Caenorhabditis elegans: one gene and its partners. The protein of the gene in region 1 purifies or fractionates together with the protein of each later gene. This does not show direct contact. Each region holds a gene or a part of one and is shown in the gene's direction. Other genes may lie near its edges.

Region 1 (5,945 bases):
TACAGTAACCTAACAGTACCCCTCCACGTAGTAAAAATATGTCCGTAGCAAAAGAGTAAAACGTAGTAAAACATCCACGTAGTAAAAGATAAGGTAGTAAAAAAGTGTTTTCCGTAGTAAAAGATCTATGTGATCAAATCGTAGTAAAAGAGAACACGTAGTGAAAGAGCCAATTGTAGTGAAAGATCTAAATGCGGAATTCGTAGTAAAAGAGATTCCGTAGTAAAAGAGATCTTGTAGTAAAAGAGATACGTAGTAAAAAATCAAGTAGTAAAACAGTATTTGCCCATTTTTTTTTGAAAAATAAGTGAGCGAAAATGATTGATATACTGACACACTCATGAATCTGCGAATTCAGATCAAAATATTGAGTTTTTTTGGAATAAAGTTGTAAACTTTACATATTTTTTTCATTGTCAGTTATTGATCTTCTAAAAAATCAACCTTCGATTTCAAACGATTTTCGTTTTTCAAAAAAATAACTTTGATTAAACTCACTTTGTTTGAATGCATCTTCAAGAAGTGGAATATCTTGAACTTTCTGCTCTGAATATAAAATTCCAAGCATTCGAAGTTGTTCGGTGAGTGATTCACGTGCCAACATCGACTGAACCACATTGGTACGATCTAGACAATCCATGCAATTCGTACGGAAAAATCCACGTTGGAATCGACTTGTTTCCATACTATTCGGGGACAAGTAAAAATATCCAAAACTCGAAATTTCTTGGCTTAACTGCTCCCGCAACAAATCAATTCGGTGCCATTGCATAGAATGACATTCTTTGTGAAAATCAAATTGATGGTAACGAACAAATTCGATATTTGCTTGTCGTGATATTCTCTCCAGTTCTCCTCCAACTTTTTTCTCTCTTCCTTTTTGATTTACAAGATTTACAATCACATGTTTACCACCATAGTGTTGCTTGTGCCACGAAAAAGCTCGATTGAAAGCAGCAAGCTGGTCATCTGTTGGTTTCAGTGTAGGCATCGGTTGCCAACGTAGATTTGGTTTTTGAGTCCAGAGAAGAGGAATAGAACCTCTCAATTGCACAAACGAAGTCAGGTGCTTGTCAGGATTCGTGTATTCAACGATTTGTTCTGTTTCAACAAAGTTTGCTGCATGACCATCTACGTCGACTCCACGTTTATAGAAACGGACGCCAGCACTGAAAAATTGAATTATACTAATAGTTTTTTTTTCAGAGAAAACTATGAAAAAACATGAAATTCGTACTAAAAAGGTTAATAATTATTTAAAACTAATATATCTTGGATTCAGACAAAACATTTTTGTGAAAAGCGAGCTCGTTGTTAGAAGTATTAATTTTTTGTCCAGAAAATCGAAATAAACGTTTTTTTAATTATTACAAATTTATTTAAAACATTTTTAAGTAAAAAAAATTACCGATAAATGCTTCTTCTGGATATGATAGTCAATTTAATCTCTTTTCCATTCACATTCACACGATTCTGGCCAATAAAACCATGAATAACGGGCAATGTGTATCTTTCTGCACCAGGGACCTGCCGGATCTGTGACAGTAGATGTCCATTCCATATGAAACGTTCGCTGGCTCTGTCCAACATACTTCTTGTTTTGAACAAAGGAACAGCGTTCTCCTGAAGCCATTGAAATGTGCGTGAGATGTCAAGAGTCGTCGAGTAGTAGAATCCGCCAATAGACAGCACATGAGTGAGCATATCAGTGAATAATCTATTATATCTAATTTGTTTCTCAGTCAAGTGAAGTGTTGTTTTCTTGTAAGGAATAATCTCGGCATCTTGAATAGTCCAGATGTTGTGATTATTAACTTGTCCGATCAAAGAAGCCTTTGTTATTACGATCAAAGCATATCCTGAGACTAGTTTAATTGTTCCCAAAATCCCATAAATAAACTTGATGTCCGTATCAGCAATTGGAACTCGCTGCTTGCGTGAATCTGTAATTATAAATTTATATTTAGATCAGACCAAAAGTCAGACTTACCAATAATTTTCATCACATTTGTGTGTCTATCGATTTCGAGATAATGTTTCGACGCAGCACCACCGCCGAGATCGGTTGGTTCTAAGAAGAATTTTTCTGGGTGTGAGTACAAGTTGAAACTCTCGTAGATGTCCATACTCAATAGACTATCCACCATTTTGGAGAGCTGAAAAGGGAATGAAGTTTGTTGTGGAAAAAAAATATGAAAAAGAAGAACGACGCATGAAAACAAAAAAATCAATAAGAGATACAACAATAGTGATAGAATACATGAAACATGTTTTCTTTGAATGCGAAAACGTGGAAACGGGTGACGACACTCCGTCTTTCATATGGGAGCGTTGTTTACCGTAAATCTACACAGACATTATTTTAAATTAATTGTATTTTTATTCTTTATATTTTTATACTTTGTGAACGTTTCGTTTCTTAAAAATTGAAGAATAGTGGTGTTTATATTAAAATCTCTCAGTCCTGATGTAAATGTGCATATTTTTAATCTATCTCTCCCACTCGGCCACCACCATGACGAAATACTTTTCTGCCATCCTCCTCCCACTAATACATTATTTAAACTGCTGAATCTTTCGAAATTGCATTGCATCATTAAAAATGATTTTACAGAAAATGGCGCTAACTAATCGACTTTTAATGAATTCGTCAGCTCTTCTAAGGTAGGCCGATAAATTAAATTATTGTGAGGGGGGCAATTATATTATTTAGAAGTTCAACGCTCCCATTAGCTGTGACATCATCACGACAGGCCCATGCTGCACATAATACTGTCATCAATTTTGTTCCACAGCAAGAAGCGTGGGTTGTAGAAAGAATGGGAAAGTTCTACAAGATTCTTGAACCGGTAACATTTCCTAAAAGGTAATTAATAAACCAACTTTTTCAGGGACTCAACTTCTTATTGCCTATCATTGATAAAATCAAATTCGTTCAAAATCTTCGTGAAATTGCAATTGAGATTCCTGAGCAAGGAGCCATTACAATTGACAATGTACAACTCAGGCTCGACGGAGTTCTTTATTTGCGTGTTTTCGATCCCTACAAGGCATGTGACGCCTGTTTTTTGATTCGCCTGTAATTGAAAAATAACACTTCTTTGTAAATTGCAGGCATCGTACGGAGTCGATGACCCAGAATTCGCAGTAACTCAATTAGCGCAGACAACGATGAGAAGTGAAGTTGGAAAAATCAATTTGGATACAGTATTCAAGGAGAGGGAATTGCTCAATGAAAATATTGTATTTGCAATCAACAAAGCATCAGCACCTTGGGGAATTCAATGTATGCGATACGAAATCAGAGATATGCAGATGCCATCAAAAATTCAAGAAGCTATGCAAATGCAAGTTGAAGCTGAGAGAAAGAAAAGAGCCGCGATTTTGGAATCAGAAGGAATCAGAGAAGCTGCCATTAATAGGTATAATATTTTTCCAATTACACATTTCATTCAGTAACATCGTGAGAGTTGTAAAAATATTCTAAATTTAAACATTTCCAGGGCCGAAGGAGACAAGAAATCAGCTATTTTGGCGTCTGAGGCTGTTCAAGCCGAACGTATCAATGTAGCAAAGGGAGAAGCAGAAGCAGTAATCCTTAAAGCCGAATCTCGTGCCAAAGCTATTGAACGTATTGCATTGGCTCTTGAGAAAGATGGAGGTGCAAATGCTGCTGGATTGACCGTTGCAGAGCAATATGTTGGAGCTTTTGGAAATCTTGCCAAGGAATCAAATACTGTTGTTCTTCCGGCAAATCTCAGTGATCCAGGAAGTATGGTTTCTCAAGCACTTGCTGTTTACGACTCATTGAGCAATAAGAAAAAGTGAAAATGTTTTGTTTGAGTTTATGTGCAAGCGTAGTTTCCGTTTCTCCATTTTCATATTTCCCTGTTTCTAAATTTTGGTTTACTGGTATTTGAATGTAATTTTACATCATCTTTTCAAAAATCTCTTGATTGTTCGTTATTCTAAATTTTCAGCAGATGAATTAGTTGAATTTTCATTTGAATTCAATTTAAAATGCAGATAACATGATTTTCAGAGGAAAACTGTTTAGTGAAAAATTTGAAAATAATAAACAAAATTTTCTTTAAAAAACTTGATCAACATTGAAAACTATTCTTGTAATAAGTTCCATTAGCTTTCAACAACATCTCACGAAACTGTGGAAAGTAGGAAAGCCATTGAGAATCTGGATTATTTCCTGTTTTATTGGTTTTTATCATTTCACGAACGCAAATTATCGTTCCAAAATCGAAGTTGGCGGTCACTTTGTTTGCTGAAAAATCAATTTATTTATAAACATGAATGTTCAAAAATCACCAATAACCATCGGACTTTTTGAAAGTTCTTGTAGAAATTCGACTCCAATTACACATATTGAATGCCTTAACCACTTGGATTTACAATCTTGATATAGTCCGTCGGATTGTTCAAGATGCCAATGAGTTTGACTGTAATTTTCAGTTTTCTATTTGCAATGTAAGCCTGCCTTCAAGGTGACCTACACGAGCCTGATTCTGCACTTGGTACACTTGGAAATTATTATCATTAGAATTTTCAAGAGAGTCAAATAAAGAGCAAAAAAATAGGTGACATGCAGACATGAGGTAGGCAGGCACAAACAAATGAAGGCATGCCTATCCTATACAAACCGTGTTAATATATCTTCCTTTGCCACGGTACAATTAGATTCCATTTGCCCATCTAATCCCAAATAGTTTTCAAAAAGTGTCATAACCATCATTTCGTCAACCCCAAAAAGCTGAAATTGAATATTATTCTCGTTTTCAAGAGTAGAACATTACCGTTCTATCATCAAATCTTTTGATTACATTTTGCAGATTCACTTTATCAAATAAAGACTTGACAAATACCTTCGAAAGGATTACTTCGTTTAAACTTTTTCGAATTTTTAGTTTTTTGTGGAGTATTTCCAGAGGTACACTTTGTTCTGAAAATAAAATTATGTTACTCTGTCATGTAATTTTTCGATATAAGAATGCGGCACCTCGTCTCAAAGGCCTCCAAGCAAGGAGTACTGTAGCATCTCAAGTCTACAGGACCTTAAAGACGCAAACCTGTTCGTGCTGTTCGATTAGAAAATATTTTGTACTTTTTGTGAGACTGGTTTAATTAAAGACGTTTTGCACTATAAATCCTAAAATTTAAGTAATGTGCAAAAAGAAAAAAAGCATAAAAGTCTAGGCGGCATCAGCCTTTGGAATGGTTTTTTAAAATTTATTTTTTTATTTTTAAGAAATAATTCAGTCGGCTCAAAGAAGTTTTGGTACTTTTAGGAAATGTTTTCTCATCTCTATTTTGTACTATTCTCTATATGAATAAATGTAGTCTATCAAAATTATAAGCCCACATGAAAAAAGGAAAACCATTTTTGAAAAGTTTCATTCCAGCTGGAGTCCAATCTTCAAATGTTCGATATCTACTTGTAAATCCATAGTCAAAACCCATGATACTGGTGTAATTTAGAATTTCACTGAGATCAGATAGTTGTTTAGGAGATTTGATTATCAAGTCGAAGTTCTGAAAATAATATTTTTAAAGAAAGAAAACTGAAAAGAAGAACAATTCAGAATTTCAAGAAAATATTTTTTTACCTGTAATGTAATGGCATGACTCCAATGTTCATCAAGAATTTGTTTTAAACAATCAAAATGTGCAGCATCTTGTTTATGACCAGCTCTATCCATATCATATTCTTTATCCAACACAATCACATTTTCAAAGCAATCAGCCATTATTCTCATAGATTTCTTCAATTTTTCACTACTTTTTGAATCCATTGCATAACAGAAATAGTTATCCGGGTGATATGAAATGGATAGAAAAACCTCTTGTAATTCATATATTCCATAGATATTTCGAACAAATGCAATAGGTCTTTTCAATTTTTCAAATGGAGGCATATCTCGAAAAATACGATT
Region 2 (4,688 bases), on another chromosome or scaffold:
TGAAATTTTGTTGTTTTGAAAAGGGGCAATTACTCAGTGCTTGCTACGTTATCGGAAGCCGTCGATCAAAAAAATTCCCTTTGAACTTTATAGCCCACTTATGTTTCAAATATTCCCACATCATAGGACTTAAACATGCTACCGTGCTATAATTTTCCAAAAGTTACAAAAAAAACTCAGTAATTGCCATTTTCGAGTGTTAATAAAAGATTTTAAAGATTGTGTTGAAAATTTTAATTATGATATTTGGTCACTTTAGCACAATAGAAGTTGGCTTTAACAATTTTTCCATTGGTGCTACTCGAACTTTAATTTCTGTCCCAAATCGTATTCAAAATCTTACCACAATGATCTGAATATATTTCCCATAATCAAAAACATTCTCCTGTGACTGATTATCATCTGCGGCTGTTTCTTCACTCATTTCTTGCTTGATTTCTGCTGCTTTCAGCTCTGTCTGACCTTCCAAAGGAATTAACTTAACCGGCTGATCTTGATTCGTTGTCAAATCTTCCATTGGTGGTTCTTCCGGCACAACCGCATCGTCGACAATACAGCTTTCTTTCTTTACCTCCACAGGTAAAGAATCTTGTACCTTGTCTTGAGCACGAAGATCGACATCACCAACAGGAACTGCTACACGCAAATCAACATCTTGTGATCTGTAATCAACATCCTTGGGAGCTGATGGTTCACGCATATCGACGTCTTGTGTTTCGAGTGGAATTGTTGGAACTGTCGGAATGATTTTCACAGTTTGCGGGATAACGGGAACCATATCTGGAGACGCTGGACAATCCATCGGAGGACTTGCTGGAGAGTCATCTTCAGGTGCGGCAGCGGATTGAAGTTTGTCCTTCTCTTCTTCCAGTTTTTTAACAGCATGTTCTTCAAGTTTTGCTTTAAGCGTTTCTTCATCATAATAAGTCTTGTCATCTTTGTCAAATTCGCGGAGTCGAAGAATAACTGGTCTGCGTAACCCAGTGTAGCGCTCCGTTGCACATGCAACTAGGAACAATGGATCTGGTGTCCCATCTGCTGAGGCTTTTCCGTCTTCATTCTCTTTGGTTTCGGCTTCTTTGTCGTTTTTCACTTCAGAAAGTAGATCGCCATTTTTGGCGTCTTTTCCTTTCTTTGCATTTGAAGGTTCGAGGGTTTGCAATCTTCGCTTTCTCCCTCCTTTAGTCAAATTTGTTTTTTCATTTTTGACATTTTCGGCTGTAATTGGACCAGACTCTCCGTCTCCTTCGTAGCCGTTTTCATTGTTGGGAACAAGGTTTGGAAATTTTTTTTTCGGTGCTCGAGGTTTCACTGGAACAACTGGCGCAGTTGTTTCAGACTTCATGTCGTCAATTTCCTTTTTGATATCTTCATTGGATTTTTCAAGGCTTGTATCAGAACTCCGATCGTTTTCATCTTCTTTTTCCAGGAGTGCTACAGGCTTATCACCAATGATCTCTTTCAAAACACAATATGCGACTGCATTATTCACTTTCGAACCTGGAAATAGGACAGGTTAAATAATTAAAACATTTGCATATTACAGTAGTTACCTTTTTTGTCATAGCACTTGTCAATTGGAAGAAGGAAACTTCTCGTCAAAACTGAAATCGTTTCCAGTGGCTGATATGTTGATGTGCCAACAATGTCAATTTTGGTAAGTTCGTAGGGCACATTTTTTCTCACAGTACAAGGTGCAAGTTCTACTCCAAAAGAAGTCCCGAAATTGACCGTTGTGACGTAGTTCTCGGTAATCTTCTTGTGAATTGTCGCAGCTAGTTTTTTTGAAGTTCCGTGTTCAACCAGATGAACATCGCTTTTGAGTCGTTCAGAAATATTTAGTTTGATTCCAGAAAAATCGAGAAACGTCATCTTTTTGTGGTATTTGTGGAACATTTTGAGAATCTGAATTTATGATTGTTTTTTTTTTATTTCTTATTTAAAGGTAAAGTTTTATGGTGTTACAATGACTGAATATAATTTTGAAACTTTTCAAAACATTTTGGAAATTAATATTTTTGGCCAAAAAGCGGTGACAACCGAGCTTGTGCCACTCTTCGAGAAATGAAACACAAATCCCTACAATGTTGGAATATAAATATTTTCAACATGAATAACATAAAAAAGGAAATTATTATTTTTCATCGATAACTTCCAAAACAGACTGGTGAAAGCTTACTTTTCATCGCTTTTTTGAAGTTTTCCGAACACTGCCGAAATTTTTTTTAAATGATATTTAGTTATTTCAACACCAAAAGAGTGATTTTTCACAATTTCCTCTCTGGCGTTACTCCACCTTTAATGTGGTGACAACTTACTTTTTCATTAACAATAGTGGATACAATGAAAAATAACGCATTTTCATCCTCATCGGCGTCCAACGCAGTTTTCCAAAGCGAAAGAAAATCATTCTGATCTGATGGCTCAAAAATCATACTTTTCGAATCCTCAAACATCTTCAGTGCTTTTCCTTCTTCCAGTTCAATGTAATTATCACCAATGTGCTGAAAAAAGTGTAAACTTTATAAACTATTGCTTCAAAAACTCACAATATGAACTCTATCGATATAGGTCGGCTGATGATCTCCTTTTTTGCAAATTTCACGCAGAAAAATGTACGCATTCTCCATTGGTGTCGCATCACAATCGATAATTGCATGCATTTTTATACTCGCGTCGACTAAAAAGTGAATTTGGTTGGGAAACGGCATTCCTGAAAGAACAATATTCAATTTCTAAAATAGCATTTAAAAAGTAAAGAAATAAAAACCACACTTTGCAAAAAAATCTAAAAATTGGATAATAAATGAGGAAACTTAACGTATAACGACAGAGGCACCCTCCAAGGTGCACACATTTATACGGCCGGGTCTCGCAGCGTGTTCTCAATGGAGCGTCCTTGCACACCAACCAACTGAGGCGCTCGTCGCAACTGCTGTATACTTTTTCCATTGAAATTTACTTTAACTTCTTAATTTGTTTATTATTTCAGATAAAAATGAGGCCTTCAGCCGTTGCAATGGGAAAACATTTTGGAAATTTGGGAAAAATGTATGGAGAGCATAGATTTGCATTGGCTCCAAACGAACAAAAAGCTTATAAAGGATTCTTCGATCAGGCATTTGTGAGAACCTTCAAAACCTACGTTTGGGATCAATGGTACTACTACATTCCACAAACTATTGGTGCATATCTTCTCTACGATTGGGCCAAGAAGACAAATGTTGCTGCAAACCGCAAAAATCCAGCTGATTTTGCCAACGACGAATAACTTGTGGAAGAAGTTGGATTAGTTATTTCAATGTATTAATTGAAATCAACGTTGGAATTTTTTCTCAAATAAAATGTATTACTAGAATCACAATGTGTTTTTGTACACAAGCATATCAAAATATGATTTACTTTAAAACTGCAGTACAAGAAAAAAAGCTAATTATTTTGTCAGCTGATAATGTTTTCATACGTAAAAAATCAGGCGGGAGAACTGCCAAAGTTAAGCAAGGAAATACCAGACTAAAGGATCAAATGCGGTATTCTAATGTTTGATATAGTCAAATCAAACATTGCAAACATGCAAGATAGACTATTATTAGTATGTGTACGCATTAAAACAGTATAATCGGCAAGAACCTCTAATAATTCTTTCAAAAACGTTTGTAGTAGAATAATTAAACACTTGAATACATTTTAGATTTTTCAAAAACTTCAGTCAAAATTGTGGCAAGTTGCCAAATTTTCCGAAACAAAATTAGTAAACCGTAGGACGACTTCAAAAACAATTATATAAAAGAGCAAACTGAATTTTCACTACTTCGTGACTGCACATAAAACAATCGCAAACTTAAAAAATTTTTTGCTATTGTTTTTAGTCATTTCAGGAACGTGGGGAAAAATTAAAAAATATTCTCCAGAAAAAAGCAATTAGAAAAAGTCAAAGTTAATATTTTCTAAACAAAACTGTCATCCTAAAAAGATTTCAAACCACAAGTGGCAAACCACAGGTTTTGAAGCTGATCTATGCTGTCAGAAGATTTATACTTTTTTACATTGGTAACTAAAGAGATATGTAGAGCATGTATTTGCGTCTAGCAACCGTTTTGCTTGTTTTGTTGTTTCTATTCAAAAAAAAGTCTACTTCCAGACAGCTGAAAAATTAGTTACAAAATATTATCGCTGGCTGGTCAATTTTTCTTTCATTTATCTAAATTTAACTCGATTTGATCTTTCAACCTTTTATACCGCTCAAAAAATACTGTTAGTCTTTGTTTTATGGATACTTTTGACAGCAGCTTTGCCAAATATTTGATTTGTTATCTTCTGATTCGAACAAAACAAATTAAACGGAAAGCGTGAAAACCTTTGAAAGCAGATAATTGATTCATAATTCCGTAATATTCTCGAGCTTTCTTCTGTAAGGTTTTTCGATTTATTTACAGTTTCTGTCTCAGGAAATTGGCTGCTGAATTCAATTTTAAATGTTCACAATGTGGGACTTTTCATTTTCCTCTGAAAAAATGTTTCACCAACTTACACTGCAAGGATGGTGTTCTTTTTAAATATGTCCTAATCTATTCCAATCGTATTCCAATGGGTTAATATGATGTAGCACTCACTTATCGGAAATTTATTTTTTGGGTTTCTCTGAAAATTTGAACAGAAAATATGAACAATTTGTAAGAGTTTAATAG
Region 3 (5,815 bases), on another chromosome or scaffold:
TTGTCGCTTGGCTCGAAGGAAGTGCACTTGGATCGACAGTCTGGACAAACGTGCTGCTTTCAAATGTGACTTTTGTTAAACATCCCGTTTTCCACCCATTCGCATCCGGCGTCAATCTTTTCATTCGAAATGCTCATGCACTTATCAACAGTGTTGGTAACCTAGAAGAGTTACCCGAAGATTTCAATCCACAAATGCTCTTCAGTCATCAGAGATGGGCTCCTCGCAGAGTCGTCGTTCAGCTTATGCGAGAACAGGTTACATTGCTCGGTACTACTGGAAGAAAGTGGAGAGAGTCAGCATTCAGTAAACAGGCGTACGATATTTGCTGTGCTGTTGCATCCCGTCTTGAAATGTTTATTATGCTTTTGGAAATTATTGGCTTATTGGTTGCACCAGAAATTGAAGATCCTAACTTCGATCACAAAGTTCATCTGGGGGATTTCTATGTTCACGAAAAAGAATATGAAGGAGCCGAAGAGAATTCTGACGAAAAATCAGAAGAATCCACGTCTGATCCAACGCCTTCAAGTGAAGCAAAATCGGAAACCACAGAGAAGAAAGAACAGAAAAGTAATGATGAAGCAACAGATGAAACTGATCAAAATGATGATGAAAATGTAGGCGACGACGAAGATGAAGATGATATGAAACAATTCAAGCCCAATTTTGGATTCGCCTCGATTTTGGCTGAAAGACTGTGCAAGGTCACAAAGGCTTATGCGGAAACAGTTAAATTAGGAAGAAGAGCACCCGACAATATTGATGGTGATGGTGACTACCTATGGCTTGGCGCATATGAACCAAAAACTTGTATACGAATGATCCCGGCATGCTTCCCTCGAAAAATCAAGGTTCCATCAAGACAAGAAGCTGCTGATTGGTGGGTGAAGTGTGCTGAAAGAATATATCACCTATGCATTGTCACTCCAAAAACTTCAAAAGATTTGAACTATTTGTTCTACTTTGCGAGAACTTTCGGTCAGAATGCATGCGTCTTCACCAGATCTCTTCTTCAAATTTGCATGTTCCCAGTCGACAACCATCTGTGTGGTGATGAGAATCGATCAATTGCTGACGCCGTTGAATACTCACTGAGCAACTGCTTCTGCCCACAAATTCTTGATAGAGTGTGAGTACTTCTCAACAAGAATACATCACGAACTTATCTCATTATTTCAGATCTCCTGTTTACAAAGATCAAACTGCTCAAAGTCTATATGTGTTATTTTTGAATCACATGTCAAAACTCGCAATCACCGTCTATGGTAGTTTTGGATGCAATTTATCCCGTCAAAGAGATCGTCTTGAGATGGCCATTGAAGATCTTGGTCAAATCCATTCATATGCTGGACGACTGGAAGAGCGAACTGATGAAGTATTGCTTAGCGGAAAAATGGTTACTGGTAAGATAATTTAAAATTAAAAAAATTATGTTAAAAATTATTCTAAATTCCCAGTAATTCCACAAATAAATCATTGCAGCAAAAGAGCAGAACTACTCATATCACTCAGTGGCTACATTTGTGTTTCACAATCTTCTTGCAATCATTAACCATTATTTCGAACTTGGATTTCGAATGGACCTTTACGTTCCTTACGAGTTCCCATACATTTACTGGTTTATTGGTTCAGTTCAAGCACATTGGATGAGAACAACTTTGGAACGGAGTCAAGAAATTCAGCTGAACGTTTATCAAGCAAGTTAGTGAAAACCATCAAATTGTTACAGTTAGGGTTCAAAAAATTTATTGAACAAAGACATGAAGCCGTTTTCTGTTATGCACTTTCCAGATCCACTGAGAGAGACTAAAAACAAAAAACTGTGGGAAGAGAGATGTAAACTTGGAGAAGAGTTGAAACGTCGTGTCGCTGCTCATCAATTCAGTGTTCTCAATCAAATCGCAATTTCAATGATTTCTGATGGAGTTGTGAGACTGACAGTTGTTCTGATTCGTAAAGGAATCATCAAGATGCCGAAGGGTGGAGATGATGCTGAAAAACTAAGATTCGAAAGACGATTCGAACCATTCGACTCACTTGGGCCTCCAGTTCGTGTGGATTACGAACGTTTTAAAAGTGATTCGGGGTAAGCGTTTACTGCGTTTTTAAAAAATGTCATTTTATGGGTATACAAATAATTATTCGCATTTCAGAATTGACCAAATGTATGAAGACAAGATTGAGACACTGATCGATCAAGCTCAGAAAAGTTTCAATGAAGCACGTGAACATCTCGAAAAAATCGATAACTCTGTGGAGCAAAATCGCGAAATGATGTTGGTTGATGCTGTTTGGTCGTTTAAAAATCTTCTTATTTCCAGGCAATTGATCCACGTGGCGAAATCGAACATTATTGCTTGCAGAGTTCTGAAACTTGATTTGACGGACAGAAATGTCGTTTGGTCGTTTTCAGAAGAGATTCCAATGTTTCCATGTCTAAAAATTAGCAAAAAGTGATGACAACTCTACTCTTGTTTGCCAATTATTGCTGCGATCTCTCCAACAGTCACAATCCATCAGTAGATTCAGAAATATTCAAGAATCATCTCAATAGAATGCCATAAGTCCCCCGTGTTTTTCTTTCATGTATTTTATATAATCAGCTAAATAATTATTCATATTTCGATTTTTGTTTTCATATTTTATTGATTGAGTAATTCAGACTAGTGAACCCCGCCTCCCCGTCTTCTTTCCTTTCATAGCACACGAATTTTCTCGGTTGGTACAGTACATTCACATTGTTCTCAGAGATATCGAAATACATTTCAAATCAAATTTTATGCTTCTATGAACTTGTTTGTTTTCAGTTTGCAAAATATCTTTGAATTATCGATTCTTTGGTTTCTGTATCCAAATTGATTATTACTTATTTTCTAACTTACTAGTTACTTACCATGTTTTCTTTCAACACGAATTTCCAGATGAGACGAGTTGTAGCAGCTGCAATCCGTACAGAAAGAGCCTTCTCGACACGATTTTCCGCGTCGCAGCAGGTAACCATTTACCAAAAATATAATTTAGAATTCTTTGTTTCCAGAAACCAGTTGCATCTACTTCATCATCGTCGTCTGTTCCGGATCGTGCAACTCTTGAAAAAGGAACAGTCCAGCCAACAGTGTTGAAGCCATTCGTTTCCGCGTCACTTCAACATGAAGATTTATTTAATTTTGAAAAAATGGTCCATATCGATGAGATGTTTAAAGCAAGACTTCACTACGGACATAAGGTAGTCTATTTAAAGAAAGGCGGTTCTAACTGTTAAAAAAAATGAATGAAATACGTTTAAAAGTCGATTTCCCAATTTTCTTTTCTTCGAAAATTGCACTGGAAAATTACGAAAAAAACTTCGGGATTTTTTCGCATTTTTTAAAATTTATTTTAAGCTTGAGAAGTTGAATTAACAACTAATATAATTTTTTTTAGGTCGGAACAGTAAACAACAATATGAAGTGGGCCCTGTACGGTGAACGTCTTGGAGTTTGCCTCTTCGACCTCGATATTACCAAAAAATATCTCGTCAGAGCTCTAAATTTCGTTGCTCATGTGTCATTGCGCGGTGGAATGATTCTTTTTGTCACTTCCAATCGAGACACCATGTTTGATGTTGAGAAGGCAGCAGATGAGGTGAGACAGTGTGCATGGTGGTGTAGGGGTGAGAACACCAATCTATTGGAAAATGATTCATGGTTCGAGTTTTCATAACAGCAGTGATGTGAACATACTTTGATCCGATAATTAATAATCTTGCGAGATTATTTGTTTCTGCGGAATTTGCGATCCTGAGCTGTTTTTTTTTATTCAGAAAATATTCACCATTGTTTTCTAGTTGTGAATGTTACTGTAAAAATGTATGTCTTTTAAACAGTAATCTTTAAAAATCAAGCAAAAAAATTTTACAAAAAAAAATTTGAAAAGGTGTTATTTTCCAGGTTGGGCAATACTCTCACGTTCGAAAGTGGCAATCAGGAACTCTAACGAACACTCGACAACTTCTCGGAGCTTCAGTTCGACTTCCAGATGCTGTCTGCTTCCTGTCAACCCTCACATCACTCGGCGAAAACCATCCAGCCATCGTTGAAGCCGCAAAAATGGCGATTCCCACAATTGGAGTAGTTGACTCGAATTCGGATCCGGCTTACTTGACATATTTGGTTCCTGCAAACGATGATACACCACAATCCACTGAATATTTGCTCAGAATGTTCAAGGAAGCCGTTCGAAAAGGACAAGAAGAACGAAAACGTCAGCAGCAAGGAAAATAAATTTTAATTTTTAGTATTTAGTTTCAAGATTTCAAAATTTTTGATTAGATCTTTTGTTTTCCTTGTTTTCTGATTGTTTCTTCATTTTCTAAATATCCAGTTGTTTACCTATTTAAAAAATCAAAATATTGCTTTCAAATCGTAATTTTGAATCACTACTGTAAACGAACAGTGTTAGAACATATCTTTCTTTTTTTTTGGTTTTTTAAAATTATTTATACACCTTATCCCTTTTCAGATGCTCTCCAGGCAGCTGCGTTTTTTAATTTCAAGTCGAGCATTCTCATCGGCTGTTCAGGATGTTTCCTCGACTTCATCTGGCGAATCCATCGATACACGAAGAGAATTATGGCGAAAACCAGAAAATCCATTCATCAAAACTCCACAAGCTTGGGTTTCAAATTTGGATACCATCGAAGATGAGAAGCTCGGACTCGTGGATCTCCATCCAGACATTTTCAGAACATCACCGCGTATCGATATTCTACACCGTAACCTCACGTGGCAAAGTGTATATCGAAATGTGCAAATGACGAAAATGTTGACAAAAGCTGAAATGCCCGGAGGGGGTAGAAAGCCGTGGCCTCAAAAGAAGACTGGACGGGCTCACGTTGGTTCTATTCGTTCCCCACAATTTATTCGAGGAGGTTTCGCAAATGGTGTTCGTGGACCGAGAACGTGGTTCTACATGCTTCCAGACGCAGTCAGAATTCAGGGACTTTGTGTTGCTCTCACTCTAAAGCACACACAAGACGATTTGCATATTGTTGACAAAATTCAAAACTTACAGAATGGAGACCCTAAATATTGGATTGATGTAAGTTATCTATAGAAAAATCATTTTCTGTTTTAATTTCAAAAATTCCAGCTTTGCGAAGCTCGAAACTACGGATACTCTGTTCTTTTCGTTGATGATTGTGATGAGATTAGCGGTGGACTTGCTGAAGCTCAACAAGCTCTTCCGTGGCTCAATGTGATGCCAGTGTATGGTCTGAATTGCTTCTCATTAATGAAATACGATACTATTGTTCTGTCACGAAGTGCATTGGAAAGAGTTGAAGAACGACTTCTCACACAAATGCATAGAGCTGGGCCGATGAATAAGAAATACAGGTTAATATTTGGAAAATTAACAATTAAAAAACGTCACTTGTGTAGCACAGGGCTGGGACCAAAAAAATAATTTTGGATCAAAAAACAAAACAATTTAAATTTGCGAAAAACCAAAAAAAATTGAATTACTTTTCAAAAAACGCTGATAATTGAAAAATGTTTCGGTTTTTTGGTTTCAAAACCAAAAAATCAATTTTTCGTCAAAATACCAAAATAACCAATAAGGATACAGCCCTGGTGTAGCAGCAACGCTTTTTTCTTGAAATGAAACTTATTGAAAAACAATATTTTAAAAATTTTGAAAAAAATAGAAATAAAAGTAAACGAAAAAAAACAAAATAATACCAAGGTAACCGGTTAAAAATGTTTTTAGTTTTCATTTTTCCGATATTTCGAAACGAATTTTTGATTTTTCGAGAAATAGTCATCAGCATAAA

Evidence for each region.
Region 2: the proteins of stl-1 (region 1) and R07E4.3 fractionate together in Caenorhabditis elegans (co-fractionation; one large-scale study listed by BioGRID). This does not show direct contact.
Region 3: the proteins of stl-1 (region 1) and mrps-2 fractionate together in Caenorhabditis elegans (co-fractionation; one large-scale study listed by BioGRID). This does not show direct contact.

What each region holds. Positions count from the first base shown.
Region 1 is NC_003279.8:9,484,699-9,490,643, reverse strand, and holds stl-1 (Stomatin-like protein stl-1), read left to right. Parts: upstream 1-2,614; 5' UTR 2,615-2,617; coding exon 2,618-2,664; intron 2,665-2,713; coding exon 2,714-2,849; intron 2,850-2,891; coding exon 2,892-3,050; coding exon of another isoform or gene 3,051-3,054; intron 3,055-3,114; coding exon 3,115-3,422; intron 3,423-3,503; coding exon 3,504-3,828; 3' UTR 3,829-3,999; downstream 4,000-5,945. Other genes in the region: sacm-1L (Phosphatidylinositol-3-phosphatase SAC1), read right to left, coding at 499-1,169, 1,409-1,943, 1,991-2,147; gly-21 (GLYcosylation related), read right to left, coding at 4,104-4,279, 4,324-4,454, 4,656-4,765, 4,809-4,954, 5,391-5,544, 5,619-5,945. UniProt on the Caenorhabditis elegans protein: Mitochondrial protein that probably regulates the biogenesis and the activity of mitochondria.
Region 2 is NC_003284.9:5,950,460-5,955,147, forward strand, and holds R07E4.3 (Cytochrome b-c1 complex subunit 8), read left to right. Parts: upstream 1-2,998; coding exon 2,999-3,271; downstream 3,272-4,688. Other genes in the region: R07E4.5 (VWFA domain-containing protein), read right to left, coding at 344-1,500, 1,554-1,905, 2,319-2,504, 2,550-2,711.
Region 3 is NC_003283.11:8,462,762-8,468,576, forward strand, and holds mrps-2 (Small ribosomal subunit protein uS2m), read left to right. Parts: upstream 1-2,924; coding exon 2,925-2,996; intron 2,997-3,040; coding exon 3,041-3,229; intron 3,230-3,426; coding exon 3,427-3,627; intron 3,628-3,706; exon of another isoform or gene 3,707-3,795; intron 3,796-3,932; coding exon 3,933-4,265; 3' UTR 4,266-4,398; downstream 4,399-5,815. Other genes in the region: natc-1 (Protein MAK10 homolog), read left to right, coding at 1-1,132, 1,183-1,406, 1,486-1,704, 1,795-2,089, 2,157-2,279, 2,325-2,460; mrpl-4 (Large ribosomal subunit protein uL4m), read left to right, coding at 4,504-5,082, 5,134-5,378.